4 linked regions of the Macaca fascicularis genome follow. The protein of the gene in region 3 interacts with the protein of the main gene of each other region in a pairwise test. Links are inferred from orthologs where the notes say so. Each region holds a gene or a part of one and is shown on either strand. Other genes may lie near its edges.

Region 1 (8,182 bases), on a different chromosome or scaffold from region 3:
CCCATTACATCGAGAGTTCTATCTCCACTATTCCACTGAAAATGATCTGGCAAAGGGCATTATATGAAATGCTCACTGTAAAATCTACCAGATTCCTTCCTCACTTTCATTGAACTTTATGCAACATCTGGCATTGGTGAAACTTCTCATTCCACTCTGAAGGTCCCTTCTTCACCTCCTTTGCCTGCCACTTGAATGCTGGTGATCTAATACTTTGTCTTATTTTCCCCAGACTTCCATAACTACGCCAACCACATCCCACCAGAAAATCAGGCTTCTCTTAATGAAAGTCACATAGACATCCCCAAATCAACCTGCCCCAAAATAAGCTGAGTTCTCTAGCTCACCTTGTACCCCATCAGCAAACCAGAAATGTGGAGGTCACACCACTCCTCCCTTTCCTTCGCTGCTCTCTCCACTTTTTGTTGTTGTTGTTGTTGTGGGTCTCACTCTGTCACCTAGGCTGGAGTGCAGTGGCCCAATCAGGGCTCAGTGCAGCCTTGAATTCCCAGGCACAATCAATCCTCCCACCTCAGCCTCCAGAGCAGCTAGGACTACACGTGCATGCCACCATGCCCAGCTAACTTTTTTGTTTGTTTGTTTGTTTTTATTGTAGAGACGGCAGGGTCTCACTAAGTTGCCAGGGCTGGGCTTTAACTCCTGGGTTCAAGCGATTCTCCTGCCTCCGCCTCCCATGTTCTTCCCACTTCTAGAGGTGACCAAGTCTTATCAAACCTACCTATTTGATAATGGCTATTTAGTAATAGCCCTCCTTTCCAGCAAATGGGTTCAGGATCTCAAATAGTCTCCTACTGATTCTGTAGGTGCCAGTCTCAGCCCCTCCTGCCCTCATCCATTGTCCCAGTTCAGTCTTTTAAGATATGTAAACCTGATCTTTTTCCAGCCCTGTTTAAAATCTTTGCCTCCAAGCTTAAGATCTGAGTTGCAGCCCCAGGTCAATCACTAACTGGCATATGGCCCTAGACAAGTCACCTCTCCCAAATTCGCATTCATTAAAAAATTGAAGTTTGATCAACAACGGCAGTTTTCAAACTCAGAACTGTCTCCTGTGCAGAGGGGTAAAGGCCAAGTGAGCCAGGATACAGGATCCCCGTTTCTGATTTTACGTGGAGCAGCCTCACTTCCAGTCATTTTATTTAAGGTTCTACCCATGGGGCAAAAAGCTTAAAACGAAACAAAACAGAACAAAATCACCTGACTAGATTACTGTAAAACATCTCTCACCTCTCAAATGATATGATTTTTCTATGATCTTTAATAAGACCAAACCAAACACTGGATACAAAATCACACAAAGATACTAAATCACCAAAGATCATTCAATAATAAAGAGGAGTCCTCAATATTTAAGAAACTCTCTATGTCTTGTCATCTCCATTTCTTCCCAGCCATCTCCCTGACAAAATATCCAACCCGTATCTGGAGTGCAATAAATAGAAGCTGAGAAGAAAACCAGACTTCTCTCCCACCCTCATTTTATCCCATACTGTTACTTCCATGCATATTCCCCACACAAGAGAACTTTTTATATGCAGAAATGCTCTTATCTTAAATTCAGTAAATAATTCAAAAAGAAACAAATGGGGAATGAAGTAAATGTCCCCTCAAAAAATGTTCTGTAAAAGAAGAAAGTTTATTTCTTTTACCCTACTTAGAACAATCTTGAGAAATTTATTTTAGGGCATTCAGGGATTCAGATATTTATAAAATAAAGATGTATAGCATTAAAAAAATTTTCAGTGTTAAAAGCCAATCTATGAGTCATTTTGTAACATCAAAATTTAAAAAAACCTGTCCTTGGCAAAATTATCTGTCATATTTAACTGCACCCCCACCATAGCAACAAGGGTACTTAAAGTTAATAAACACTACTCACAAACAGATCTCTTATACACATAAAGTTTTTAAAACAGCTATGTGATTGAAATAGTCTACATATTCAAGGTATTTATACGTAAGATTCTAAAAATCAGATAAAAGGCATGACAAATATTAGTCATTGCTTTATAGATTTTCGGAGAAAAAGGATTAGACTATCTATACTTGTCTAAATTCAGATAATTACTCACACAATTTAAAATACTGACCCTACTTTCCCCTGCAATGAAATGAATTCATTAAACTCTTCTATAAAGATGATTAAGCATGAATAATCATTTATGCCTTCAATTATATAACTAGTTTTCAAATGATTTCCCTGCCTTTATCATTCCAGCCTCAGTAATTACCAGTGAAAACACCAGTTATTTTAAAAACACAAAGCTTTACCTTAAACCTATTTCATCTAAATCTTTATTAATCATTATTTAGAAATGTCATCACTCAAAAGTCTGCAATTTCCTAAATGACCTAACATTTGATTCTATTTCACCTTTATGATAAATAAAAATTATACCTTTTGTAAACAATCTTCAGATCTCGCCACTCAAGGAAGCTGCACATTTTAGGTTTCCGTGCTAAAACGGTCTGAACAAGTTCTCTTGTGATCTTTTTCTTCTCTTTGTCTGATAGTGGGACATACCATTTTTGCAGTCGAAGCTTTCCCTGACGACTAAAAAGCAACATAAACTGCATCTGTTAAGATAAATAAAATCAAGATTACATGTAATACTTTGAATCAATAAAGTTAAGATTATGTGTTTCACAGAGAAGCTTTGGGGGATGGGGCATTTAAATGACAAATGATTACTAGCCATCAATATTTCTATGCCAATTAAAATAGCAAGAAATTCTTTTGGACAGATCTTCTCTAGATGCAAACCTTCCAATCCCACCCTGTTCCACGTTAAGTTTGGAGGGGAGTGTGCAAGAGAAAAAAGAAAAATTTGTAATAAGCTGAAGCGAAATTTTTGAAGAAAAATAAAGACCACTCTTTCAATTTAAGAAACTATTTTCTACCTGTGCTATACATTGTGCACTCTCTATATGTATCAAAAGAAAATGGTAGACATCAATTGATTTGGGTATTTTTGAAAGAAACGGAAGACCTGCTATTTTTCACCCTGAGGCCGTTCTAGTTCCAGGGTGAACTACTTGTAGACAGTAGCTTATATCTTAGAATGCTCTCGTCGGTTTATGATGGCATATTTCAAGCAAAACAGAATGATCCAAAATATTAACCGAAAAATCTCATAACTACAAATTTTCCTTAATAAAAAAGTATGTTTTCATCTTACTTTTAAAACATTCCAACTTAAATATGTACAAAATCTAGAACTGAGTTAATGTAGTATTATGAAAAAGAAAACAAACATTTAAAAGGCCACAATAAGATTTACACTTGTTAAATAAGATTTAGTATTGAAACATTACATGAAATATTTTAAAAAAAATAGTATCTACAGATAGAGTGGATGCTGAATTCTAGTGTGTTTTATTACTTAAACTAATTTGTATGTATTTATTTGTGATCGCAAATGTGTTGATTAGTCTGCATGTTTCATTTTTAACCCAAGCTTTTTGTAATTCAATTGGTCATCTCAACTGCAAACAGAAGTATTGTTTCTACAAAGGTAATTTAAAGCCAGAATTCACATAGGTATCCTTTTTTCTTTTAACCACTGTAAGTTCCTTTAACAGCGTTACTGCAAGTAAGATTCAAGCATGATTCTCAAGATTCACCACACCATCTTGAATTTGAAGACGGGGAGGGGAAATTTACAGAACCAATGTAGAATAAAAATGGGCCCTAAATTTCGGTAAGAAATTATCGTCGTTTTTTATAACCACCCAAGAAGGTATCAACAAGATATCTAGAAATTTATGACGTGGCAATTCAACTTTAGTAAAGTTAAAATGGTCTTATTACCTCACTTAAAATGCGTCAGGGGAACAAAATATAAGGACATTATTAGATGATACCAAAGTGCCTCCCGTGCAAGTCCTGAAGATAGCGGCATTCGAAGGGAGCAGCAAGTGAAGCATCAACTGGACGTTTACTGCAAACCCGTTACCAGAACTTGGAAAAGAATGGATCTCGTATTCCTAGATCTTGGTGACCAGAAAGGGTGAGGGTTTGCTTGCAAAGAGTATGGGCTCAAGGCTGTCTGGAGCAGGGTCCTGTACCCGCCCTACCACTTTGCAGGACGAAAAAACAATGTATTCTCCTTAAAATAAATTATGTCCTAACATGGGACGAAACCCGGTTGCAAGGCACGAGTATTCCTTCCCTCGTGTTAAAAACCAGCGCTTTGATTTTGCCGCAAATCACAGGGCACCACAATTCCTCGAGATTGGCATTAAAAACAATGGGCTCAGCCGCGGCGCGGGCTCGGGGCCAGCGTTCCTCGGGTCCGGCCGTCGCCGGTGCCTCCCCCCCACTCCCGTGGCCACACTCCATCACTGACCAAGCCCGGGCGAGGTGACAGGCAAGGAGCGGAGCAGACAATGGCATCCGCCGCCGCGCAGGGGGCGCCAAGAGTCCTCGGCCGCCACCGCCCCCGGCCCCTCCCGAAAACGCCCCGCAAAACTTGAGGCGATTCCCGAACCACAGGTGCCGCGGGGCTGTCGCGGAGCCCGGGACTGGCCCCCACATCCCCGGGCGCGGCGCGGAGTGGTGCGGAGGACGCGGACCCTGAGAGAAGTGAGTTGCAGGCGCGGCGACCCAGTGGCGGGCCGGGCAGGCTCGGGGTGGGGTCGCGGGGCGCGCTCGGGGTGGCGGGGGGCGCGCCCAGCCCTCCCTCCCCCTCTCCATCCCCGGCGCCCCCTTTCGTCCCCGGGGACTTACGGCGGCCGCGGGCCGCGGGCGCGGCGGAGCTCGGCCGGCGGCGGCGGCGGCGGCGGCGGCGGCTAAGGGGAAGCCCCTGTCGCCGTGCTGAGGAAGAGAAGCCGTGGTGCTGTGGGGAGGGGACCCGGCTGGCGGAGGGCAGGCTTAGGCGGAGAGGGGAGGGCGAGCTGACAGACCCCGCCCCGGGGGCCGGACGAGGGAGGAGCCGGGGCTGCGGCGAGCTGAGGGGCGGGCTAGGCGACGCGCGGGAAGCGGCTCAGCAGTTGCCAGCGGCACCGGAGGCAGCGCAGGTAACCGCTGAATCCAAGGAAGCCGATTGGAGGCTTCTTTGCTGAGGGGGTGGTGCGAACCGGAAGCCGGGCCACGTGACCCGGAAGCGGCGTCTGCCGGGCCCGCGCGCCCGCGCACTCCTGCTGGTGCCTCCGGGACGCGCGCGGGCGGGTATGCTGCCTGTTTAATGATAGGAGGACGGGATTCTGCAGCGTCCTCAGCCTAGCCGGAGGTGCGGGGCCGGGAAGTTCCAGACAGCGAAGAGCCTCGTTTGAGCTCTAATGATTCTCTGTGTCCCCAGAGGGTGGGTCGGGGAGGTGTGACGGCTGACGACAAGGATGGGAGGAGACGAGGGAGTGCTGCAACTCTGGAAAAACAAGTCAGCTCTTCTGTGGAGCTCGTCACCCATTCACGGGCATTTTGCTATCATTCTGCCTCAAAATTGTCCGGAATCCGGCCTCTCCTTCCCATTGCACTGCTCCAGCCCTAGCCCAGACACCTTTCGCCCCAAGCTTCGCGGGAGTCTGTTCCCTGGGCTCGCCTCGCCCATCTTCGGTGCTGCGGAGTTACCATCCGTTCGGCTGAAAAGCCCGGACAGCACCTCACCTTCGAGATCCCGCTTCCTTCACACTGGGTCGCCCCACCAGCCGCCTGGGTTCCAGTTTAGCACTGCCGACGACTTGCTGTGCCTGGCATGTCCTTGCTCTCAAATGTCACATCTCCTATGAAGCCTCACCCTAAAACCCTGTAAGAGCGATTCCCTCTTTCACCCACATGCCCGTTAGCCTTTATTTAGCACACCTTAAGTTGTATTCATTTTGCATCCCAGTCTAGTTCACTGCCTGGTGTATAACACAATAAATGTGAGTTGACTGATAAAGACCATAAAATGATAAATTTGTTAAGAGCTGTAATGCTGAGCGTAATGCCGGGGCATAATGGATGTTCGTAATTTTCTGAATGATAGAATGGATGAATCATCTAGTCATTTACAGATAAGGAAAGGGGAGTCCCACGGGATTAGGTGACCTTCCTTGAAGAGCCACGGGTTTCCCATATCGCATGCTATTCATTATCCGAGTCACCTAGGTTCCTACAAAGGAAGCGAGAAAATTGCTTTTGTTGGGCCATGTCCCTTTTGCAAAGGTTCCTAGGTGTAGTCGCCAGAATTTTTTTAATGGCCTAAAGTAAAAGAAATGCTAATTTTTTCACGAAGCTAAATGTAATCAATGTAAAGGAATCCTTTATTAGGAATTATATTCTTTTTGTGTGCATTTTAGTATCTACGAAACTAAGACAGTAGTTTTGGGGGCATTTTAAAAAAGGCCTTTGTATGACAAAACAAAAAAATGTGTAATACTTCCCCTTTTCAAGCACTACTATGCTGCTTGCAAAGTCTCCTACTAACATGTATGATTAATGTATACTGGAATATTAAAGAAAGGGGATGACACATGGCACAGAGCTGACTTTCTGTAGTTCTTTAGGTTCCTTTCGCCCCCAACAGATTTCTCCCTACCCAGTCATGCCCCAAAGGTACTTTCAAATGTCCCATTTCTCTCTTACTACAAGAAACAGATGCCATTAACCAGTGAAAAGATAGCTCTAATGCTACACAATGAAAACTCGCCCTCTGAATTCAAATGCTGCTTTTCTCTTTTTCTGTACAAAACACTTACATCCTCAAGGTTCCTGAGATAGCCACCTCCAAGTTTAAACTGATTATCCTCCTAATGTTGCTCTGTGGCTCTGAAAATGAGGACGGGAGACTTGCTGATGACATACTGGCAGTCTCCCTTCCTGCTCCTAGCCAAAAAAAGGTGGGGGTAGGGGTAGGGAGGGGAAGGAATTGTGGGAAAAATAATTAGCAGCTGAAAGCAGCTATTACATAATCTTGGCTGCTTATTAATTTAGCAGAAGGAATGGCTTATTAAATTCTAATAGCAGCAGCACAACTGCAAACAACCTAGCAATTACCAGTGCAGGGCCCATTATTTTGTTAATATGTTCTCTTCCTTTGGCAAGTGTATGAGAACAAAATTTATAGAAGCAGATGGTCTTTTTCAGTAGATTATAGATGGTTTATTCCCTAGTCTTAGTATTAAGTGCTAATTATGCATTCACTGTGAAAGACAAAAGAAACATGGTTGCCATCTTTGTTAGTAATTAACTGCTTGACTTTGATTCCCACAATTTCCCAATGGTAGGCTTTGTTATATACATGTTTCTTCTCACCTAGTATCTTCTTCATCTGTCATGTCAATTGGTTATCTTTTCTAATCCTCTGTTTTTGTTTTCCACATGGTCCTGATTTATTGGTATTAATAATGATATAAGAATTATATACAAAATTCGTTTCATGAAAAATTAAAAATCAGATTTTATACTTGTTTCTTAGATTTGAAAAAAATGCTTCACTGTCATTTATGCTAAATGTAAGAGGTGAGGGGAAAATAGAAATCTTTACCTTCTAACCATAAAATTTTGAGACTTTTTATGTAATCTTTCCAAAGTTTTCAAAAATAATTTTAGTTTCCTATTAATTGTGTGATGGCCATATACTTTTATCCTCTCACTCTCTCAAAATACCATTAAATTTTTTTTTAAAGGGACTATTTAAAACACATACCCACGTGGAAAATAAGAGAGAGAACATTTACATGAGGATGTTGATAAAGGATGTCAGGATACACTGTCAGCTCGTCATTTAAACATTTAAAGAAAAATTGTAATATATTGATATTATGGAGGAGCAGAAGTGAGGGGAGGTTGAAATAATGCTAAATCCTCATGTGCTAAAGGGAAGAAAATAGATAACATCTAAAATAAATCACGAACTAGAATTGTTAGCATATTCTTTAGATACCGGGAAGTAAATCCCAGAAGCAATGGTGACTTTCTTTCCATGGACAGAATCTTGCAGTAGGAAGTAATAAAAGGTATTACTACATTTTACTTAGGTTTTCTCTTAAATAATTTTTTAAACTATTGTAACGAAATAGATAAAAACCATTCAGTTAGTTGCTAGCTCTGTATTATGGACTTATACAGAGTTCCTTTAGCCAGTCTATAGATTATTTAGAAATTATTAAATAAAAATGCCCAATAACGGAATTCAGTGCTGAAGCCTTGTAGAAGATCACAGAAAGTGTAAAAAAGATGCTT
Region 2 (7,744 bases), on a different chromosome or scaffold from region 3:
CTGGGTGGAGACCTGCTATGCAGACGGGTGCTCTCCCTCCAGGACATTAGAGAGGGGTTGTGGGACTGAGGGCTGGCAATCCCTGGGATGACAAGGTGACGCGTCATGGGGTGGTGAGGACTGGGCAAGAATCCATGGCTATGGGGCCTAGTGGTAGCCGAATGCCAGCTGGTCAAGACAGAGACTGCCAGGACGCGGGACCAAGGCAGGGGCTCAGCCGGCGGGGGCTGCTTTGACATCACCCGCCCCTTGGGATGCTGGGCCAGCGCTTTCGGGAGGAGCAAGGATGAAGGCTGGGTGACGCAAGGGTTGAACCATACCCCTTCAGGCTCATCCCCCATCTCCAAGCAGAAGCAGGCAGGTGAAGAGAACAGGCAGCCACATGCAGAGAGAAAAAGCCAGGAAGGAAGACAGAGGAACAAGAGAGAGAAGGGAAAGAGGGAGGAGATTAGTTAACAGTAGCTCCATCCGAGAGGAGAGTGGTGTGAGGCTGTGTTGGGGCCTATGAGAGGCCCAGACCCCGTCTCTATGAAAGGCACTACCCCACACATTTACCCCAGCACCCGTTCTGCACCACAGCCCTTCCTGCCTCACCCTAGCAGCGCTAATTGCCAGTCTCCTGCCCCCATGCTGCCACCGTGCGGACCTGAGTCGAGCACAGTCAAATGAAGAGGCTCAGCCACCCCCAGCACCTGGCCCTGCCAGTTGCCTGAGGAAGCCCCAGGGAGATACCCACGTTAGTCTCACCACTCCCCTCCCTACTGTCTTCCCATTCCCCTCTCTCCCCGGCCTCCCATGCCCTCTCAAATAGGCCTGGCTGGGCTTCTGTTCCCAGCTGGGGCAGCATGAAGCTAAGTGGACACAAGTCTGATTCCTCAAAGCTAGGAACACCCTAGCCTAACAGGGCAAAGGTGACTATGATGCCAGGATCAGGGCAAGGGCTAGGATGGGCCTCCCTGCCCAGGATCTCCTGGGACTCGAAGGTCCAACAAGGGAGTGGAATCCTGTCTGCCACTCAGGGGCTGTGCGACCTTGGAGGGAAGGCTGCCTGGCCTCTCTAAACCTTGGTTTTCTCATCATAAGTAGGGAGCTACACAATCACCTCCGAGGGTAAATGGTAAGAGCTCAATATAATGTACCTGAGGCACTCAGCTGGTGCCTGGCATGGAGGGGCGTTCAGTGACTGCTCCTCTGAGGATCATTATCAACATCATCCAGAGGACACCCATGACATACCAGGCTGTCAAGGCCACCGCCAAGAAGGTCCACAGCTCCCATCTGCACTGAGGAGGTGGTCAGGGGTGGGCCGCTCACTGGGGGGCCGAGGTCCAGGTTGAGGAGGTCACCCAGCAGGTCGCCCTGGGCGGGGATGACATCTGGCTGCTCCCCAGGAGGTGCTCCGGCAGGGGCTGTCTCAGGGCTCTCTGCGCTCTCACTCCTGCCGGGACACAGAAGAGAGAGAAGGTCAGTAGGGCGGAGGCATCAGGATGTCTCAGGAAGGTCAAAGAGACCCCAGCCTCCAGGCGCCTCCCTCAGGACAGGCACTGAGTCTCCTCCCTGTCCCCAACAGCGCTGTCCACACGGCCCCACTGCTTCCCCATTCCCACAGCAGGTCCATCTTTCAGGCCCTCTCTGAGGATGAGTGAAGGGAGAGGGCCGCCTGCTTCTAGCCCTCAGCCCATGCCAAGGAGAAAACTGGAAGCCAGTGCCCTAGGATGGTGCCACCAGGTCACACCAACCACCTGGGAAAAGCAGAGGAGGAGGCACGGACAGGGCTCTGGAATGAGACAGAACCGGTCTGAGTCCCAGCTCTGCTAGTTGTGAGATCCTGGACCAGTCCCTCAAGCTCTCCTTGTCTCTTGTTCCCACCTGAAGAATGGGGACATTTGCTCTCAGAGCTGTTGTTAGGATGGAATGAGGTCATCTAGCAAATACCTCATGTACAATAAATAGCTGAGAAAAGGTTGTCAGTTTTCCTCAGACTCAGGCCTTGCCAGGGGACAACACACCAGGCCTGAGTGCCTGTGCTGCTGAACTGGGAAAGCAGGTGTGGAGGCTCAGGCCTACTGGCCAGTCTCACTCACGAGGCCGTGCGGGGTGGTAGGCTCTTGTGCACGACGCCCCGGCCCCCCTCCACAAAGGCACTGGGAGGCTTATGGTAGACAGAGGCCAGTGTGCCGATGTAGCAGATAAGCTCGTCCAGCAGTGTGGGCTCGATGAGGTCCGTCTCTTCAGAGATGAGTGGCTTCTCAGCCAACACCACCTCCTTGGCTGCCACCGGGTCCGTGGAAAGCAAGCGCCAGTAGATGTAGCCACGGTCCCGCAGGTCCGGGTTATCTGAGTCCTTGTGGGGGTGAGGAGAAGCCCGTGAAACTTAGAGCAGCCAGGTGAGAAGGGAGGAGGTTTTCCTGTAGCCATGAGCCAGGTGTGGCACAGGGCTGGCCAATGGGGACAGCACTCCCATGAGCCTGTCCCTACACCACCTACAGGGCCATACCCCGGCATCGGGCTCATTCTCCATGGTGCTCTACTCCAGCCTGGCTGTGCCTGTCTCTACTCCCAACTGCCCACTGTGGCCTGCCCTTCCTGCCCCCAACGCACACCCTCAGGCTTCCGCAGGCTCTCCTCCTCTGTCTAGTTTGTCTCAACTTCACTACTTGACCTCACTGCACTTTGTGTTCTAAGCTCCCTGAAGGCAGGGAGCTTGGGTTACTCTGGGGCTGGAAGCCAGTCCCACCCACAGGATACCTGTCTCAGGAGTGGGCCTGGCTTCCAGGTCTAGTTCCTGGGACAAAAGTTCCCCTGCTTGAGTGAGGGTTGTGCTGGGCACAGTGGGGCGGTTGGGGCACCCACCTGAGTGGCCAAACTGAGGACCTGCTGCACCAGCTCCTGGGTCTCTGTTGGCTTCTTCAGAAAGAGTTTCACGATGCCTGTCAGCAGCTGCAGCTGGACCTGCAGGGAGGGAACAGCGGTGGCGAGGAGGAAGGTGGGCCTCACATGGGGACAGCGGGAGACTAAAAAGGCTTGAAGAGGAAAAGGGTGTTCAAAGTCCCTGGAAGCCAAACACAGCTCTTCTAGGTTTGGGGCTGTCACGGCACACACGCAAAGGGCCACCACAGGTGTTGGTGCCGCTGAGCAGCCAGACTTTGGCATCACTCACTCAGGAAGGAGCTGAGCACTGGACTATTCGGCAAACCCAAGCAGGCCAGGGGCCGCTGCCCAGCCCTAGGGTTCTAGAAACCTGTTGGAGCTCTAGACTTCACAGGACTATGAGAAGCTCACGTGTGGCTGGTATGCTTCTTATTGGGACTACCTGTCAACAAGTGGCGACAGTCCCATGGAGTCCCAGGGGACTGGGGCAGCAGGGCCCACAGAGCCTGCCATCAAGAACCTGTGCTTCTACCAGAGGGTGGGAACCATTCCTGGTGGCCCTCCACTGGCCCCTGCTGCATACCTGGACATACCCAAAGCTGCCCTCATCCTGGCCAACCATCCTTACCCTTCAGATCTCATGCCAACCCCACCTTCAGACCCCCCATGCTTCTGCAGCCTCTTCCATCCCCTCACAGCACCACCAGTTGCTGGCTGTCCTGTGCAGTGAGCTCCCTGTGGGCTGGAGAGATGTCTGTCTTGCTTACTGTCGTGTCACTAATTACTGCCCAATCTAGTGCCTGGTGTAGAGCAGGCACTTAAGAAATACTTGCTGACCGAAGAAACATCTATGCGAGAACAAGTCTTTGCATATAGTCCTTCCTTAGTCACGGTCTCATTTTTGCTAGTCCTAGGACAAGGGGGCAGCCTGAGGCTCCTGGAGTCGGGGGCAGTGGGAGCCCATGGGCTGTGCCAGGGACAGGTCTGCAGCAGGAGGGCAGGAGTGGCAGTGCAGGAAGCCCAGCAGCAGCCGTGCTGGCAGCATCTCTGACGCCTGCCCAGTAGGAGTGCACTTGTGTGGGGAAGGCTGACAGCAGCAGGCGGAACAGAGGGCATGTGGTCCTCCAATTCTGGGACGAAGCGGAGTCTTTGCAATTTGGTTACATGTGGGCCAGCAGCAGAGGAGCAGTAGGCTGGCTGTTTCCGAGGCAGGAGGCAGCCCAGCATCTGGCTTCCAGACTCTAGCCCCTGCCTGGGTAGCCAATGGGAAGCCATTTACCCTCATCTGTAAAGGAGAGGTGTGGCCTACTTCAGGATTCTTGTGAGCTTTAAAAATGGCAACTTAAGGCAGTTTGCTTGGAGGTGGAGTCAGATCACACCTTATTTGAACTCCAGTTCTATGACTTCTCAGCTGGGTGACCCTGGGCAAGTCATTTAGCTTCTCTGAGTCAGTTTCCTAATCTATAAAGCAGTCATTAAATCTCACAGAGTTAATGGAGAGTTGATGAGACCACAAATGAAAAGAAGCGGCCGGGCGCGGGGGCTCACACCTGTAATCCCAGCACTTTGGGAGGCCAAGGCAGGCGGATCACCTGAAGTCAGGAGTTCAAGACCAGCCTGGCCAACATGGTGAAACCCTGTCTCTACTAAAAATACAAAAATTAGCCAGGCATGGTGGCGGGCGCCTGTAGTCCCAGCTACTTGGGAGGCTGAGGCAGGAGAATTGTTTGAACCCGGGAGGCGGAGGTTGCAGTGAGCTGAGATCACACCACTGCATTCCAGCATGGGGGACAAGAGTGAGACTTTGTCTCAAAAAAACAAAACAAAACAGTAAAAAAGCATTGTGTATTCTGCTAAGGAACAGCTGTCATCATCACAGTCATTATCACCACTACCATCACACAGGGACTCTTGAAAAAGTTCTCCCCAACCCAGTCAGCTGGATGCCTGGAATGATTCATCACTGTCAGCTCTGCTGTGGTTCCGGTCAGGTATGCCTCAGGCTGTACTGCCAGAGGGTGGTCTGGCCAGGTGCCCAGGGCCCTGGCTCAACAATCCATTCCAGTTCCTCTCAACACACTCAGGCTGTTAGCCTGCATATTTAGGGCACCCTTCCTGAAATGATGCCATTACTTCTGCTATCCAGACAGAATGGGATGGCAGGACAGGGCCAGATGCAGGCTGGGCTGATATACCACCCTGGCCAAGATTTTTTTTTTTTTTTTTGAGACGCAGTCTCACTTTCCTGCCTAAGCTGGAGTGCAACGGGGTGATCTCAACTCACTGCAACCTCTGCCTCCTGGGTTCAAGTGACTTTCCTGCCTCAGCCTCCTGAGCAGCTAGGATTACAGGCACACACCACCACACCCGGCTAATTTTTGTGTTTTTAGTGGAGATGAGTTTTACCATGTTGGCCAGGCTGGTCTCGAACTCCTGACCTCAAGTGATCCACCCACCTCGGCCTCCCAAAGTGCTGGGATTACAGGCATGAGCCACCATGCCCAACTGCTGACCAAGACTTTCTAAGTCTGCTGTCCATGGCTAGAGAGGCCTAGGAGCCAAGGATGAGAAGATTCAACAAGACAATGTAAAATGAGTTCCATAATTGTCAAGCCTGGTGCAGTGGTGCAGGCCCATAGTCCTAGCTACTCAGAATCCTTTGAGCCCAGGAGTTCAAGGCTAGCCTGGGCAAAACATAGTGAGAGTCCGTCGCTAAAACAAACAAACAAAAAACTCCAAATCGTCAAGCACTCAACAAGTGTTCTTTTTTTTTGAGACAAGGTCTCGCTCTGCTGCCCAGGCTGGAGTGCACTGGTATGATCTTGGCTCACTGCAGCCTCAACCTCCCGGGCTTAAGCGATCCTCCCACCTAGGCCTCCCAAGTAGCTGGGACCACAGGTGGGTGCCACTACACCCAGCTAATTTTTTTTATAGAGATGAGGTCTCACTGTCGCCTAGCTTGGCCTCGAACTCCTGGATTCAAAAGATCCTCCTGCCTCGGCCTCCCGAAGTGCTGGGGTTACAGGAGTGAGCTGCTGCACCCAGTTAACAAGTTTTCTTTTTTTTCCTTTTTTCTGAGATGGAGCCTTGGTCTGTTGCCCAGGCTGGAGTGCAGTTGCATGATCTCGGCTCACTGCAACCTCCGCCTCCTGGGTTCAAGCGATTCTCCTGCCTCAGCCTCCTGAGTAGCTGGGATTACAGGCGCGCAGTATTTTAATAGAGATGGGGTTTCACTATCTTGGTCAGGCTGGTCTCGAACTCGAGACCTCAAGTGATCCACCCGCCTCGGCCTCCCAAAGTGCTGGGATTACAGGTGTAAACCACCGTGTCTGGCCCTAACAAGTATTCTTAAAACAGCTTTGAACTGTGTTGTGAACAAAAGATGCAAAGTGAACAGGCTACTGAATTACATCACACCCCCACAGCTACCATTAAACTGAGTGCTGGAGCGGGCACTTTACACACAATGTCCAGCAGTCTTTGCAATAACTGCACTGGAGACAAGGAAGTGGCTTTGCTGAGTTCACGTAACTGTGCGCCAGGCCACACCACAGGGAGGAGGCTGGATCTCACACTTCAGAGTTCTGTTTCTGTTCACTTCAGAGCTCTGTTTCTGTTCACACCACCAGACTCTTGGCTTACCTCTCCCTGTCCAGCTTCTCTCATCCTGGCTTTTTAGCAGGCTTAGCTGCAAAAGATTGACTCTATGACAGGGGCAGAAGCACACCCCTACAGCAGCGGTTCCCAGCCTTTGTGGCACCAGGGACCAGTTTTGTGGAAGACAATTTTTCCACACATGGGGTACGAGGGTGGGGGGATGGTTTTGGGATAAAATTGCTCCACCTCAGATCATCAGGCATTAGGTTCTCATAAGGAACGCACAACCTAGATCCTTCACCTGTGCAGTTCATAATAGGGTTTGCGCTCCTTTGAGAATCTGATGCCGACACTGATCTGACAGGAGGCGGAGCTGAGGCAGTAATGCTTGCTTGCCTGCCACTCATCTCCCGCTGTGCAGCCCAGTTCCTTACAGGCCATGGTAGTACCGGGTACTGCGCCGTGGCCCGGGGGGTTGGGGATCCCTGCCCTACAGGACATCCTCGCAGTGATCCCAGGCAGGACTTGCCTGCAGGAGCAGAATCCAGAATAGGCAGGCTTTGCTTCTGAGACACCGGGAAGAGGCTGGTATTGCAAGCAAAGGCAGTCTGGAAGCAGGTGGCGGTGGGGGGGTGACGGTGGGAATTAGTACTGTGATTCTGGGATGGACATCTGTTGTTTTTGCTCACCCAGCATCTATTCTGTCTTCTGGGAACAGAAACACTGGCTTTCCTTCAGAGCCTCACCCTTCTTTCTGTCCCTTTCAGTCCACACAGACTGGGATCAGTGCCTGAGAGACCTCGCCAACCAGAGTCACAGTGCCTGGCTCAGGATAATGCAAATAGGTCCTGGGACTTTTGCTGGAACTACTGAGGGAAGGGGAAAAATTCTTTCCATGGGGGTTATTGTGCCGTAAGGACATAGCCTGGAAGTGCTGACTCCTTACAGCTCCCACTCCTGGGAGCCTACCCACGGCAGAAGGTAGCTCAATGCCACCATCCAAGCACCCTCAGCCAGGAGTCCCAGAAGGCAGCGTGCTACCCACACTTGCCGGCTACTGGAACCAGTTGCTCCCCTTTTTGGCCTGGACTAGTTTGCTTTTGAAACCAATTTGGCCCAAACCAACACTACCATGAATGAGTGTTTATTATGGGCTGGGCATGTGTTAAGGACATTATACCAAGCATCCTAATTTCACTTTTGTAGCAAGAGGATGAGGGAAGATCTAATGATTCTCATTTTACAAATGAAGAAACTGAGGCTCAGAGTTAAAGGG
Region 3 (7,744 bases):
AATACAAAAAACTAGCCGGGCGTGGTGGTGGGCACCTGTAGTCCCAGCTACTCGGGAGGCTGAGGCAGGAGAATGGCATAAACCCAGGAGGCGGAGCTTGCAGTGAGCTGAGATCTGGCCACTGCACTCCAGCCTGGGCGACAGAGCAAGACTCCGTCTCAAAAAAAAAAAAAAAAAAAAAAAAAAATCAGCCTGTGGGAATGAGCTTAGCTAACCATTCAACTTATTATCCTATGTCTATTTTTTACTCAAGGTCAGGTACGCTTTAACTCTCCATTATCCTTTTAAAGAGGACTGCAAAACCCCGTCTCTACTAAAAATACAAAAAAGTAGCCGGGCGTGGTGGCATTCACCTATAATCCCAGTTACTCAGGAGGCTGAGGAAGGAGGTTTGCTTGAACCCGGGAGGCAGAGTTTGAAGTGAGCCGAGATCGTGCCACTGTACTGCACTCCAGCCTTGCTGACAGAGTAAGACTCTGTCTCCAAAAAACAAAAACAAAAACAAAAAAAAAGGCACTTTAACCTTTCAGCTATACTTTACACTGCAATTTAGGACAGAAGTTGTGGGCTGGGCACGGTGGCTCACGCCTGTAATCCCAGCACTTTGGGAGGCTGAGGCGGGTGGACCACGAGGTTGGGACCAGCCTGGCCTAGATGGTGAAACCCTGTCTCTACTAAAACTACAAAAATTAGCCAGGCGCAGTAGCAGGCACCTGTAATCCCAGCTATTCAGGAGGCTAAGGCAGGAGAACTGCTTGAACCCGGGTGGCAGAGGCTGCAGTGAGCTGAGATCACGCCACTGCACTTCAGTCTAGCTGACAGAGTGAGATTGTCTCAAAATATAAAAAGGCCGAGCAAAGTGGCTCACGTCGGTAATTCCAGCACTTTGGGAGGCCGAGGCAGGTGGATCATGAGGTCAGGAGTTCGGGAACAGCCTGACCAAGATGGAGAAACCCCACTGCTACTAAAAATACGAAAATTAGGGAGGGCACGGTGGTGCGCGCCTGTGATCCCAGCTACTCAGGAGGCTGAGGCAGGAGAATCGCTTGAACCCAGGAGGTGGAGTTTGCAGTGAGCCAAGATCGCACCACTGCACTCCAGCCTGCGCAACAGAGCAAGACTCCATCTCAAACTAAAAATAAAAAAAAAGTTGTATTGGACTCGGGTTTATCATATTGCTGAACATGTCGATTACAAATGAATGTTATATATGAACAAAAGAAAAAATATTCCCAAATGAAAAGTTATGTTTCAATATTATGAGTGATTGCTCCTTCAGTTGCTTTAATTACAGAAAGTGTGGAAGGGAAGTAAGATAAAAGGTAGGCAGTAGGTTAACATCTCTCCACAAATGGTCACAGCTACTGAAAACTAACCATGAGTGGGAAGACACCAAGAAGAAGTCATGTCTTGGGACACTAAAAGCAAAGGTGATACAGGATATATTTTTTGAGCTTGAAAGGGAAAGTAGTTTTTTTTTTTGGAGACAGAGTCTTGCTCTGTCATCCAGGCTGCAGTACACAGTGGTGCAATCTCGGCTTACTGCAACCTCCATCTCTCAGGTTCAAGCAATTCTCCTGCCTCAACCTCCGGAGTAGCTGGGATTATAGGTATGCACCAACTCACCCGGCTAATTGTTGTATTTTTAATAAAGACAGCTTTCACCATGTTGGCCAGGCTGGTCTGGAACTCCTGACCTCAGGTGATCTGCCTGCCTCGGCCTCCCGAAGTGCTGGGATTACAGGCGTGAGCCACTGTGCCCGGCCAGGGAAAGTAGTTTCTATCTTAAAAAACTATGAATAATTTATTCACCCCAAATTAGAAGTTTGCCTTTAAGAAATCCCTATAAATTATCTTAAGAGCATTAGCATGACAACGTATAACCCGGATATTGTGAAGATTTGATTCTTGCTTCTCATTTAGCCTCTCCCATCTTCAAATGATTCACATGCTGGAAAGTCTGGGTTCAGTTTAGTTTTTCTCCAAGGCCTCTATCTTTTCCCAGGTATTAAATAGCTCCAGACTGGCCTCACCTGTAAGGTTGATGTCTCCCAGCAAATCAAGAAGTTCTCCACCAGCAGAAGATGGTTTGCTTGTAGGTGCAGTTGGAATAACAGGTGTTATGTCATTTCCTCCCAACAAATCCAATAAATCATTGGCCTAAACAAGGTAACAACACCTCAATTCATTATTATTTGTCTAGTTTACATCTAAAGCAAAGCTCTTTCAATATGTAAAAATAAGGAAGGAAATCATCAACCAACCCAGGAACATTAAAAGGACTCAGCTAAGAGACAAGCTATAAGGGACTATAAAATCATAAGAAGCCCCAGATGAGCAAGTGAAAGGCTGGCTACCTGGCTGGTGGGCTGTGGCCCAGAGGGTGGCGGTTTGGTCTCTAGTGGAGCTGGTTCTGTCTCTCCATTTGTCTGCACAATCTCAGTAGGGCCATTTGTGGTCACTTTTTCCATGACAGGCATTCTCTCAAGTAGAGCAGACCTAGAAGAATCTGAAGTGGTTAAATTCTAGGCAGTTAACCTAGATTCCCCACCCAAAATAATCACCATTAACTATGTTGAGCCCAAGCATGGAGCTCCATCTCCCCTCCCCATCCAACACACACACTAAAATAGAAGGTAGATTACAAGAATACATGACCTAAATTCCTGGCTGGATTAAGGGCAGACAAAAAAATCTTGAATAAACAGACTGTCCAGCTAAATCCCAAAGCATATATTTCAGTGGTAGGGAGATTGAGATGAAAGAAAGGTAAATCCATAGGTATTAACAGTCAAGAAGATACTGCATAATAGAAGAAAACAAGATGACAAACACTAAAATGTTAACAGTAATGGAATTTGAATGAGATTATTTGTCTTGAAAAAATACAACTCCTACTTTTTTTTTTTTTGAGACAGAGTCTCACTCTGTCGTCAGGCTGGAGTGCAGTGGCATGATCTTGGCTCATTGCAACATCCACTTCCCAGGTTCAAATGATTCTGCTGCCTCAGCCTCCCGAGTAGCTGGGACTACAGGCATGCGCCACCACGCCCAACTAATTTTTTTGTATTTTTAGTAGAGATGGGGTTTCACCATGTTAGCCAGGACAGTCTCAATCTCTTGACCTCGTGATCTGCCCACGTTGGCCTCCCAAAGTGCTGGAATTACAGGCGTGAGCCACCACACCCGGCCTCCCACTTCTTAACTAAATAAAATAGAAAATAAAGCAAAATTTCCATACCAAAAAAATGTAAGGGTTGGAGGTGGAATGAAAGAAGGGAGTTAATTTATTTCTTTAGAGACTAGGCAGAACAGAAGACGGACAAAACAGAAGCAGTCAAGCAATTAGAACTAAATAGGGATATGAGGACCAATTAATAAAGCACAAGGAATGAATCTTCTTTATGAATTACCATGACAATTTAGCCAGGATACTAAGATATACACGCATTACTTAGTTTCTTTCGCTCACCTCATGTGGTCATATTTCTTGAAAAGTGCATTATATTCTACTGCCCTCTGCTGGAGTTCCACATCAATGCTGCTTCCATAGATGGAAACCACTTTCTTAATTCGGCTATAGGATAAAATGACAAACAAAATCAAATAACCAAAAGAAAATTCACAAATAAGCAGAGATAATGTTTAATAAGCCAGAATTTTCTGGTTATAATACTGAAATACTCATCTTTTCTTAATTTATATAATTTTTCAAAAACAAAACACTTCATTTTCATCCATTTATCTGACATTCACATTGTACTATTCTCATTGCAACACTAGATTTTTGTCCATTAAACATGCCGCCCCCATTCTGCAGCAATGATGGTGTGGAAAAAACCTATATATATGCCACTCCCTAAACTTTGCTAGACAAAAGTACCAACTATTACTTTGCCACAAAAAAAAATCTGTACTGTTCATTCTCTTCTTTGATAATTTTAAAATAATTTTTAATCTATAAAAGGGTCAGAGCATCAAAATGTTGACCCCACATTCTTCCAGTTCAGAATTTTAAAAGTAATTCAATACCATTTTTTATAAGACTTCACATTTAAAAGTAAAGCAGAAAGACTACAAGAACTAAGTTTGCCTTAAATATGGGAAACTGACCTGAGAATCTACTTTATTCAAAATAGCAAAGAGAAGAATTAAAATATTTAATCACCAAAACATTCATGATTGTATTCCTATTAAGACATGTCAAAATATAAAAAACCAAAACCTAATCCCAGCACTTTGGGAGGCCGAGACGGGCGAATCACGAGGTCAGGAGATCGAAACCATCCTGGCTAACACGGTGAAACCCCGTCTCTATTAAGAAATACAAAAAACTAGCTGGGCAAGGTGGCGGGCGCCTGTAGTCCCAGCTACTCGGGAGGCTGAGGCAGGAGAATGGCGTGAACCCGGGAGGCAGAGCTTGCAATGAGCTGAGATCCGGCCACTGCACTCCAGCCTAGGCGACAGAGCGAGACTCCGTCTCAAAAAAAAAAAAAAAAAAAACCAAAACCTTGGCCAGATTACAAGGTCAGGAGTTCGAGACCAGTCTGGCCAAAATGGTGAAACCCCATCTCCACCAAAAAATACAAAAATTAGCCAGGCGTGGTGGTGCGCACCTGTAATCCCAGCTACTCGGGAGGCTAAGGCAGGAGAATTGCTAGAACCCTGGAGGTGGAGGTTGCAGTGAGTCGAGATCGTATGCCACTGCATTCCAGCCTGGGCAACAGAGCAAACTGTCATCAAACAAAATGAAATATAAAATACAAATAAACCAAAACCTTTATGTGGAGAAGTAGATTCTCAACTTAAAAAGAAAAAAAAAGGTTATTAGAAATCTCATTCTAAAAACATAACTTTTAGGCCAGGTGGAGTGGGTCACATCTGTAATCCCCGCACTTTGGGAGGCCAGGGCAGGAGAATCGCTTGAGCCTAAGAGTTCAAGACCAGCCTGGGCAACAAACAAAAACATTTAAAAATTTTTTCTCTACAAAAAAATTGGCCGGGCGCGGTGGCTCAAGCCTGTAATCCCAGCACTTTGGTAGGCCGAGACGGGTGGATCACGAGGTCAGGAGATAGAGACCATCCTGGCTAACATGGTGAAACCCCGTCTCTACTAAAAAGAAAAATACAAAAAACTAGCCGGGCGAGGTGGCGGGCGCCTGTAGTCCCAGCTACTCGGGAGGCTGAGGCAGGAGAATGGCGTAAACCCGGGAGGCAGGCGGAGCTTGCAGTGAGCCGAGATCCGGCCACTGCGCTCCAGCCTGGGTGACAGAGCGAGACTCTGTCTCAAAAAAAAAAAAAAAAAATTTAAAAATTAGCCAGGCACAATTGTGTGCACCTGTAGTCCCAGCTCCTCGGGAGGCTGAGACAGGAAGATCCCTTAAGCCCAGGAGTTCAAGGTTGCAGTAAACTATGATGGCACCACTGCACTCCATCCTGGGTAAGAGAGCGAGACCCTGTCTCAACAAACAAACAAACAAACAAACAAAACTCCCTAACTTTTTTGCTTCAAAATAATCCACAAGGGAGTAAAAGAATGAGAGGGAACAAAGTGCTGATGAATAAAGATTAACTATTAATTGATCATTGTGACTGTTGAGAAATAAGTAATGCAAATTTGTGTTATTATTCCCTCTACTTTTGTTATGCTTGAAAATTTCCAGGATGTCAAGTTTTTTTTGTTGTTTTGTTTTTAATTACAAAACCTGTTCACCCTGTGTTTCTTCAATACTCACTTTACAGTACAAGTGAATCGAGTAGAAAGCTTCATAATGGCAGTGAGGGCATAACCTCGTGTCACAGAGGTGGACATATTAGAGATTAGGACACTTTCTAAAATATCCAATACTTCATCCTCTGTTACCTGAGGAGGAGGAGGAAAAAGAAGACAATGAAGAATGAGTAGCATGATTAGGCATCTAAATCTGGTATTAAGTCAGTGGATGCAGCCAGAAAGACAATCCTACCATTACAAAAGCCTCTAACTCAACATGTGCTTTACTAGGGTAACTGTCCAAGGTGTTCTATTAACAGAGTAGATGGGGGTAAAAAAAGTGCTCTGGTTCTATCAACTACAGCAGGTGAGGGTAAAAAGAGTGAAAAATGACCATTGGGGCTAAGAAGCAATATTAGAACTTCAAGTGGCAGAAACAGAAGAAGAAAAGAAAAACATACAGAGTTTAAGTGCTGTTGCCTTTTAAAAGGGCAATTTTAAAATTTTCCTTTTTTAAAGGAAAATTTAAAAATTTTCCCTTTTAAAGCCAGTCCTTTAATGTGCCAATAAGAACATAGACACATGTCTCATTTCTTCCTGTTTATCAGCCAGAAGGTAAGAGAAACAATTAATTCAGTCCACTAGGACAGAGAGTTGGGTCTAAAGTGGTTTTAAAATCTTACAATGGGGCCGGGCAAAGTAGCTCACGTCTGTCAATCTCAACACTTTGAGAGGCCAAGGCAGGCAGACTGCTTGAGTCCAGGTGTTCAAGACCAGCCTGGGCAACATGGTGAAATCCTGTCTCTATAAAAAGTAGAATCAGCCAGGCATGGTGGTGAATGCCTATAGTACCAGCTACTCAGGAGGCTGAGGTGGGAAGATCGCTTGAAACCCAGGAGATTAAGGCTGCAGTGAGTTGTGATCCTGCCACGGAACTCCAGCTTGGGTGACAGAGTGAGACTCTGTCTTTTAAAAAAAAAAAAAAAAAATCTCACAATGGCTCAATAAGTTCCGTTTCAAAAATTGGCAGGTTTTCCAATATAATTCTAGTTCGATTCTTTGAAAAGTTGGATATTTTTTAAAATATTTTGAGACAGGGTCTCACTCCTGAGTAGCTAGGACTAGATACCATCATACCTGGCTAATATTTGTGTCTTTTGTAGAGACAGAGTTTCACCATGTTGCCCAGGCTGGTCTCAAACTCCTGGGCTCAAGCAATGCTTCCATCTCAGCCTCCCAAAGTGCTGGGATTATGGGCATGAGCCACCACACCTGGCCTAAAAAGTTTTCAAGGAATCAACCTCAACTCCCCATTAAACACTACTCTCCTATAACCAAAACCACTATTTTCCCCCACTTAACCAAGAGTGACAAGGAGTACCTGAATAGGCTCTTCCTCTTCACACTGGCCAGATACAAGAAGATCACCATATTCACCTATACACCATGCAGCCACTTGTACCAAAGGTTGCTGTGAAAAGAAAAGTCAACATTTCTCAAGGACTTCAATTTTTCCAAAGTCATTTAATGCAAATAATAGGTCATCTCATAATAAAGATCAAAACTGTGCATATCTAGAGTATTAGAAATAAAGACATACCAAAGGGGAGAGAGGAGGGGAAAAAAAAAGAAGAAAAATATACCAGAAAATTTGAGAGTAAAATTATCCCTTAGCTAAAATAGCTGAATGAAGTACTTACTTGAGAATAATCACCAAGAATTGCTTTGTACAGGCGCTGGACAGTATAGGCATGCATCTCCACACTGTTAGTTATTAACTGGATTAAATTGGGGACTGCATCATCACGAACATAACTTCCTGCCTAAAAGGAAATGCAGACAATTACCCCTAGAAACACACAGCAGTGATGATAACAAGTGTTAGCTATTATTATTACTGTGTGTTTCTTTTTTCTTTCTTTCTTTCTTTTTTTGAGACAGAGTCTCGCTCTGTCACCCAGGCTGGAGTACAAAAGCGCGATCTTGGCTCACTGCAACCTCCACCTCCCAGGTTCAAGTGATTCTCATGCC
Region 4 (7,744 bases), on a different chromosome or scaffold from region 3:
GGTGGCCACAATGATCTGATCCAGAGATTCCTTATTGCTGAGCATCTTAAAGACCTGCAGGAGAAATGGGGAGGGCTGAGCACTCCAACCAACTCAATGCACTCATCAAATGCCCACATTGTGCTGAGGACTTCCTCCCTTTAAGTGCTTGCATGTACATCACCACAATGGAACAATAGCCCCGGAAACAGATGAACCTCTTTTTGGTCTAAGATCGTAGCTTACTGGAGGGGAAACAAACAATTAAAAAAAAAAAAAAGAAAAAAAAAAGGCAAGACCACAGTAAACCTTCAAATCTCTGTGCTCCTTTTCCCCACCTACAGTTTAATGCTTCCAAAATAAAAGCTCTCATTACAAGCCCAGTAACAAAGGTTTCTCTAGGTTCCAAAAGTCCTTTTCAATCTCTGTACAATTACTATTTCATATTTGTATATATTGCTAAGTTCACAGCTGTACTAATTTTGCCTCTCAACTCTCCTACAGAGAGACATCAGCCCACTTCCCCAGTAAGGACAACTAGGTCAAGGGGCAATAAGCAGGCAGTTCAGCCAAAGTCAAAGAACAAGGTCCAGCAGAAACAGTATGTGGATCTTTTGGCTGTCACCGTATGGGCAGGTTGTATGGTTATCATTAGAGGGAATCAGCAATGCCTGACTGAGACAGGCTCTTTGGGGAAAGACAGGGCTCCACTGAGGCCCACAGACATGGCAAAAACTCCCCAAGGAACTCTTGGTTGTCATGGAAACAGGCTTCCAGCTCCCACTCCACACCACTCGCCAGCCAGCGTTCACACCCTCTCCTACAGTCCTGGCTGGGGGCCGTGGCACACACTCACCGCTTCCCTGTAAGAGGAGCTGCTGTGCAGGGCAGTGTGCAGCACCCGGAACTCTCTCATGGCAGCCACTTTGTCCACAGGTTCTGGCGGACAAGACACTCAGAGTTACCCTACAGCACAGGCCCTGTCTCTTCCACAGACATGGTAACATCATTTCAATGTGCCAAGGAGCAGCCTGGTCTGTGCATTCCCTTCCCTCATTACCCCTTAAGAATGTGAGTGCCCACTCAGAAAAACCCATTTGTGCCACGGATGTGAAAACTGCTAGTAAGCATCTTTACGTTCTCTTGTAAGCATCTTCCACAGATAAAACAAACAAATTCAAGTTGTGGCAGAGGAGAATCTTACCACATGAAAAACAGTGCTCTGATCAACATCCCACTGCAGGAATTCCAGACTAATAACATTTGGTTGTTGGTGTTTTTGCCTTTGTTTTTCAGACACAGTCTCATCTCTTGCCCAGGCCGGAGTGCAGTGGCGCAGTCTCGGCTCACTGCAACCTCCACCTCCCTGGTTGAAGCGACTCTCGTGCCTCAGCCTCCCGAGTAGCTGGGATTACAGGTGTGCAATTATCCACTCTTGGATAATTTTTGTATTTTTAGTAGACACGGGGTTTCACCATATTGGTCAGACTGGTCTCAAACTCCTGACCTCAAGTGATCCATGTGCCTCGGCCTCCCAAAGTGCTAGGATTACAGGCATGAGCCACCATGCCCCGCCCTGGGTCACACTTTTTAAAGTATGGTTATCCTCATGAAGGACCACTACTTGTGACTGTACTGACTGTGTACTGCCCTACTCCAGGGGCACCACTCCCAAAGCAAGGTCAATAGCACCCCTGGGGTTCAGTGTGGCAGCCACATCCTTATCGACAGTCCTGATCATGAGGCTGTCTTTTGAAAAATAGTCACCGTAAGTAAATTACCTAATTTATTCATTCAACAAACATGTACTAAGCATTTACTCCATGCCTGACTTTGGACAAGGAACTAGAATGTGAAAAATAAGAACCCCTGCCGTCAAGGAACTCTTACGGCAGTAGGAGAAATGAGACTACATCAAACACACAATTACAAAATGCCACGCTGAGGACCTCAACAGAGATGTGGATCCCAGCTAGGGCACCAGGAACACAAAGGCAGACAGCCACCACTGAGACGGAGGGTAAAGACAGAGAGCTGCCTCCCAGAGGAGACCATTTGAAATGGGTATCAAAGAGAGAGCTGATATTTACTGGGGGGTGAAGGTATTCCAAGCCTAAATGAGAACATGTGCAAAGGCATGGAAGAATAAAAGAATGTGGTGCTTTGAACAAACAGCAAGTCATTCTTTGTGGCTGGAGCTTGGGGTACACATCCCAGCTCAAACAGCAGGCTAATAAGGTGAGGTCCTGAAGGGATTTGTAACCTGCCATGGAGAACCACCAAAGGGATCCAGCTGGGAAGACAGATAACAATGGGTTCTCCTCCTACAGACCCTAATCTGTAGGAGAACACGAAATGTGATTCCTTTGTGAAGAAAAGCACTCAAGGAGAAAATATCTAAAACACTGTCACAAGACAGTTTCTTCACAGATCTAAGAGTTTATTGTAACCTTCCAATAAAAAGGTCATTTGTTTCAAAAATAATCCTCCAGGTAGAAGGTGGGAGGAAAAGGACTCTTAATATCTTAAGCCAGTATTCAGCTAAGAGTCATGGCTGTCACTGTAAGACCTCTGAGCTAAATTCATCCTTTGAAAGTGGAAGGCAGCCAGCCCAGTGGAAATGGTTTTCCTCTTGAGCCAGGAAAACCCCTGGTCCATATCCCAGCTCTTGCATTCACTTTCTAAGTAGCTGACCTTGAATAAATGTCTTTCTAACCCTTTTCTTCCTCCATAAGATGCTAATGCTGTTACCTACCCTGCAGGGCCACTGTAATGATTAAATGAGGTATAAAAGGGAAAAAACCTGGCTCACAGAAGCCACAAATGTTATTTTCCTTCTGTTAATGCCCTCCAGCCAAAGAGCTGAGGGGCATATCTGTATTTAAACTAGTTGGGCGTACTGCTCAGTACAGAGAGAAGAATGAACACCATAGGAAACCATGGGCTGTCTCAGTAAGAGGATATTAGAAAGGACTTCTTGTTTTTTTTTTTTTTTTTTTGAGACAGAGTTTCGCTCTTGTTGCCCAGGCTGGAGTACAATGGCATGATCTCGGCTCATGGCAACTTCTGCCTCCCGGGTTCAACCGATTCTCCTGCCTCAGTCTCTCAAGTAGCTGGGATTACAGGCATGCACCACCATGCCCGGCTTATTTTTTATTTTAAGTAGAGACGGGGTTTCTCCATGTTGGTCAGGCTTGTCTCGAACTCCCGACCTCAGGTGATCTGCCCGCCTCGGCCTCCCAAAGTGCTGGATTACAGGCATGAGCCGCTGAGCCCGGCCAGAAAAGACTTCTTACACGATTTTGGCTTTGTCTGAGTGATTTGCGGAAAAATTTAAAGAAGTGAGGTTTTACTCCGGATAGGATGCTTTCGGCAGTGGGAGTGATTTTATAATTGAGTATTTTAATAACTCTTACCTAGAAGGAAGGAAAACTAGAGCAAGGTGGAAGCTGTAATTGGCAAAGAAGCAGCTATTACTCTCATCAGCCGAGATAGAAAGATACTTGGTCACTTTTGTGATTTGGATAATGCTCATGTTTTTGTCTCTGTTCAGCAATGATAGGGATCTTGTTTTTGTCTTAATCCATAGTGGTCTCAGAGTGGCCTTGACTGATATTGGGGATCTGTACAATTGTTCATGTTCCCCAAAAGGACACCAAGGCCTGGCTGTGAGTGCCAGGCCAACCTCTGGATGTCAGGAACTCCGTTCCTCTTTCTCACTTCCCATCAGAGTATGAAAGACATTTTTGTCTTTTACGGTTAGAACTGAAAGGGGGGTAAATTTCAAACTGATAACTAGTCACAGCAATCATGAACATTATAAAAAGATGTCAACCTGCCAGTTTAACAAAGCTAATCTCTTTTACACAGCTTAGCTTTATTCTTGGGGAGGCTTTTAAAATACACATGCAAAATTTAAATCATGAATTCCAAGCACCTTCTATTTATAAACCAAAAAGGCATCCGAGGCTTTGTATATTTTCTCCAAGAGCTATTTAAATACTCTTTGAATAGCTTCAGGAAAATAAATTACCAGTATAGCAAGAGCAGTTAGCTGACTGAACAAATCACCACCTGAGGCAGTTTGTAGGAAGATTTGTTAACAAGGGAACAAACTGGGGCATTAGGAAAGTGCCAAAAGTTTCCAGTTTTTTTCTAATGAGAACAACAATAACAAAAGGATACAAAGTTTACTTTGTATCACTGAAAAATAAACTGTTAACTTAAAGGAGTTTAAGTAGACACAAACTCACTATCCCATTAGGAAACAGTGGATGACAAACTTAGAAAGTGGAGAAACAGTCAGGAATGGTGCCTGTACTTTGGGAGGCTGAGGTGGGGCGGATGGCTTGGGTCAGGAGTTCGAGACCAGGCTGACCAACATGGAGACACCCCGTCTCTACTAAAAATAAAAAAATTAGCTGGGCGTAGTGGCACATGTCTGTAATCCCAGCTACTCAGGAGGCTGAGGCATGAGAATCACTTGAACCCGGGAGGTGGAGGCTGCAGTGAGCCAAGATCAAGATTGTGCCACTGCACTCCAGCCTGGGCAACAAAGTGAGACTCTGTCTCAAAAAAAAACAAAAACCAAAAAACAAAATGGAGAAACAAATCTCCCATTAGTGATACCAGCAGTAAGAAGGTCAAAATTGGACTCTGTTTATCAGCATGGTTTAATCCAATAAGTAATAAAGATATCATTTATCATCAGCTCAGTAAATCATCCCTTTGTTCCACCCAGGCTTGTGTCTCAAGAACACACAGACCTTTCCCTTGCAGATATTACAGAAACTCTGCCTGCTTAAGGGCTGACCCTCACTCACCTGGTTTCTGATCAGGTTCGGGCCAGGACTTTCGCAGAACATGGACGGTGGACCCAGGTTGAATACCATAGAAGTCAAGTGTCTGGTCATCTTTTAGCTTCCGACCACAGTAGATCAGATCTAAAAAAAGAACTGTCCACTTACATTTTGCTCCTCAAAACAAATTTAGATAGTTTTTGTTCCCTGAGAACCTTATTTTGATTGGATAGATAGCTGGAGAATGATACATGTTTTAAAAGATACTCTTATTTAATAACTTAATACTTTTTTTTTTTTTTCCTTAAACAGGGTCTTACTCTGTTGCCCAGGCTTGAGTGCAATGGCACCATCACGGTTCACTGCAGCTTCAACCTCCTGGGCTCAAGCAATTCTCCCGCCTCAGCCTCCTGAGTAGCTGGGACTATGGGCACATGCCACCACACCCAGCTAATTTTTGTAGTTTTTTTGTAGAGATAGGGTTCTGCCATGTTGCCCAGACTAGTCTCTTAACTCCTGGGCTCAAGGGATCCTCCTGCCTTAGCCTCACAAAGTGCTGGGATGACAGGCGTGAGCCACCACGTCTAGCCAATTAAATACATTTTAACAACTATTTGCAAATATAAACTCATAAAATGGACTTACATAGAATCTGGCCAGATATGGTGGCTCACGCCTATAATCCCAGCACTTTTGGAGCCTGGCCAACATGGCGAAACCCTGTCTCTACTAAAAATACAAAAATTAGGGCCGGGCACGGTGGCTCACACCTGTAATCCCAGCACTTTGGGAGGCCGAGGTGGGTGGATCACCTGAGGTCAGGAGTTCAAGGCCAGTCTGGCCAAGATGGTGAAACCTCGTCTCTACCAAAAATACAAAAATTAGCCAGGCATGGTGGAAGGTGCCTGTAATCTCAGCTACTCAGGAGGCTGAGGCAGGAAAATTGCCTGAACCTGGGAGAAAGAGGTTACAACGAGCTGAGATCGTGCCACTGCACTCCAGCCTGGGTCACAGAGCGAGACTCCGTCTCAAAAAAAAAAAAAGAGGATTCACATAGAATCTATCCATAGAGAAGCTCTAGAGTTTAACATTGTGGAGACTGCCCAATTTAAATCAATGGAAAAACAACAAAATAGGATGAACTCAATCCAGGTATGACTGAAAACATCTTTTTTGCCAGTTGGATCCTTTAGCTATTATAAATTACCTTTCCAGTATAATTTAATTATATTTAAATTCCTCCCTCCTCCACCTGGACTGCTCACGCCATTTTCATTTTCTTTTTTACTGCCTTTCTTTTAACCAATCAACCAAGCAAATCCTCCTAATCATCCCTTAAGACCTACCTCAAATATACTGAGGAGCCTCCCCTGACCAACTTCTCCTTCCCTAACTCACCCCAAACGTCTGTTCTTTCAGAAAAAGAATTCACAATGTTGGCCAGGAGCGGTGGCTCATGCCTGTAATTCCAGCAGTTTGAGAGGCCAAAGCGGGCAGACCACAAGGTCAAGAGTTCAAGACCAGCCTGGCCAACATGGTGAAACCCCATGTCTCTGCTAAAAATATAAAAATTAGCTGGGCATGGTGGCACATGTCTGTAATCCCAACTACTTGGGAGGCTGAGGCAGGAGAATTGCTTGAACTGGGACCCGGGAGACAGAGGTTGCAGTGAGCCGCAATCGCAAAACTGCAGTCCAGCCTGGGCTACAGAGCAAGACTCCGTCTAAAAAATAAATAAAAAATAATAATAATAAATAAATAAATAAAATAAGACAATGTCATAAAGAACCTGGTGATAAAGTACTTCAGTATAATACATGGCTGAAAATGGCAACCAGTAGTTTCATTATATGATTTGTGTTTCTATTTACCCAACACTCACTTCCCTGGAGTGTTAACATTATGAGGCAACAAATCCCAAGCCCTTACTTTACTTACTCTTGTAATTTCAGAAGTATCCTCCCCTAAAAGAGATCAGAGCAGCAGCCCAACCCCATTCCAGAGAGACTCACCAATCAGCTCAGGGTCTGGAACAGACTCCTGGAGTTTGCCAGCAATAAGCTGCTTCAGAAATGAAATACTATAGCCCCCAAGCGAGTATTCTCCCAGTTCTGTCTCTGGCAACCGAAGAATAGACTTTGGAGCAAGTGGCTGGTCAGCCAGCTTCACCGCCAAGTGCCAGTCTGAGAGAGACATCCTCTCTCTTTCGCGCTCTCTCTTTCTCCCTGTAAAAGAACAAAGCCTCAGTGGTTAAAAGACAGACCACCACCCTACTCCACCCCCACCCACCAAAGGGTTGAATAAAAGACAATTCAATGTGACACTGTTGAAGAAGCACAGGGTGCACTATCAGGAGGCCAGAACTAGAATCTGGGGTTCTCTCTCTACTCATACTGTGATGGACAGCTCTCTAGGCCTCAGTTTCTTCATCCCTAACGTGGACATAAAAACGCCATCCAACCTAATAGGAATGTTATGAAAGAGATCATCTAACCCTCTCCCTTCTGTATGCTCCTTTTCCCAATTTTCTTCAACTCTTGCTTGAACCAGTAGAACAGCTTTATAACAAGTTCCCTAACTCTTGCCTCTCCCTATCAAATATCTGTGCTGCCACCTAACAACCTATCATTCTAAAACACAGATCTGATCAAGTCACTTCTTTGCTTAGAACTCTTCCAATGTTGGGCTGGGCGCAGTGACTCATGCCTGTAATCCTAGCACTTTGGGAGGTCTAGACAGGCGGATTGCCTGAGCTCAGGCGTTTGAGACGAGCCTGGCCAACATGGTGAAACTCATCTCTACTAAAAATACAAAAATTAGCCGGGCATTAGTAGTGCACACCTGTAGTCCCAGCTACTTGGAAGGCTGAGGTTGCAGTGAGCCAAGATCTCACTTCACTGCACTCCAGCCTGGGTGACATGAGACTCTGTCGCAAAAAATAAATAAATAAAAATTAAAAAAAGCAA

Evidence for each region.
Region 1: the proteins of AP1G1 (region 3) and AP1S2 interact in binary tests that used the Homo sapiens proteins (3 or more experiments, as listed by UniProt). The link is inferred for Macaca fascicularis from reciprocal best matches to the Homo sapiens genes AP1G1 and AP1S2.
Region 2: the proteins of AP1G1 (region 3) and AP1B1 interact in a two-hybrid assay, tested with the Homo sapiens proteins (2 studies listed by BioGRID, with this or other methods). The link is inferred for Macaca fascicularis from reciprocal best matches to the Homo sapiens genes AP1G1 and AP1B1.
Region 4: the proteins of AP1G1 (region 3) and UBL7 interact in binary tests that used the Homo sapiens proteins (3 or more experiments, as listed by UniProt). The two-hybrid records come from large-scale screens. The link is inferred for Macaca fascicularis from reciprocal best matches to the Homo sapiens genes AP1G1 and UBL7.

What each region holds. Positions count from the first base shown.
Region 1 is NC_088395.1:15,671,872-15,680,053, forward strand, and holds the start of AP1S2 (AP-1 complex subunit sigma-2), read right to left. Parts: upstream 4,898-8,182; 5' UTR 4,748-4,897; intron 4,604-4,747; exon of another isoform or gene 4,352-4,603; intron 2,596-4,351; coding exon 2,417-2,595; intron 1-2,416. UniProt on the Homo sapiens protein: Subunit of clathrin-associated adaptor protein complex 1 that plays a role in protein sorting in the late-Golgi/trans-Golgi network (TGN) and/or endosomes.
Region 2 is NC_088384.1:22,326,177-22,333,920, reverse strand, and holds part of AP1B1 (AP-1 complex subunit beta-1), read right to left. Parts: intron 2,953-7,744; coding exon 2,854-2,952; intron 2,345-2,853; coding exon 2,085-2,344; intron 1,439-2,084; coding exon 1,237-1,438; intron 342-1,236; coding exon 321-341; intron 1-320. UniProt on the Homo sapiens protein: Subunit of clathrin-associated adaptor protein complex 1 that plays a role in protein sorting in the late-Golgi/trans-Golgi network (TGN) and/or endosomes.
Region 3 is NC_088394.1:68,622,294-68,630,037, reverse strand, and holds part of AP1G1 (AP-1 complex subunit gamma-1), read right to left. Parts: intron 7,537-7,744; coding exon 7,414-7,536; intron 7,185-7,413; coding exon 7,095-7,184; intron 5,864-7,094; coding exon 5,736-5,863; intron 3,578-5,735; coding exon 3,473-3,577; intron 2,500-3,472; coding exon 2,358-2,499; intron 2,161-2,357; coding exon 2,034-2,160; intron 1-2,033. UniProt on the Homo sapiens protein: Subunit of clathrin-associated adaptor protein complex 1 that plays a role in protein sorting in the late-Golgi/trans-Golgi network (TGN) and/or endosomes.
Region 4 is NC_088381.1:51,561,531-51,569,274, forward strand, and holds part of UBL7 (ubiquitin-like protein 7), read right to left. Parts: intron 7,004-7,744; 5' UTR 6,975-7,003; coding exon 6,791-6,974; intron 4,923-6,790; coding exon 4,803-4,922; intron 919-4,802; coding exon 836-918; intron 55-835; coding exon 1-54.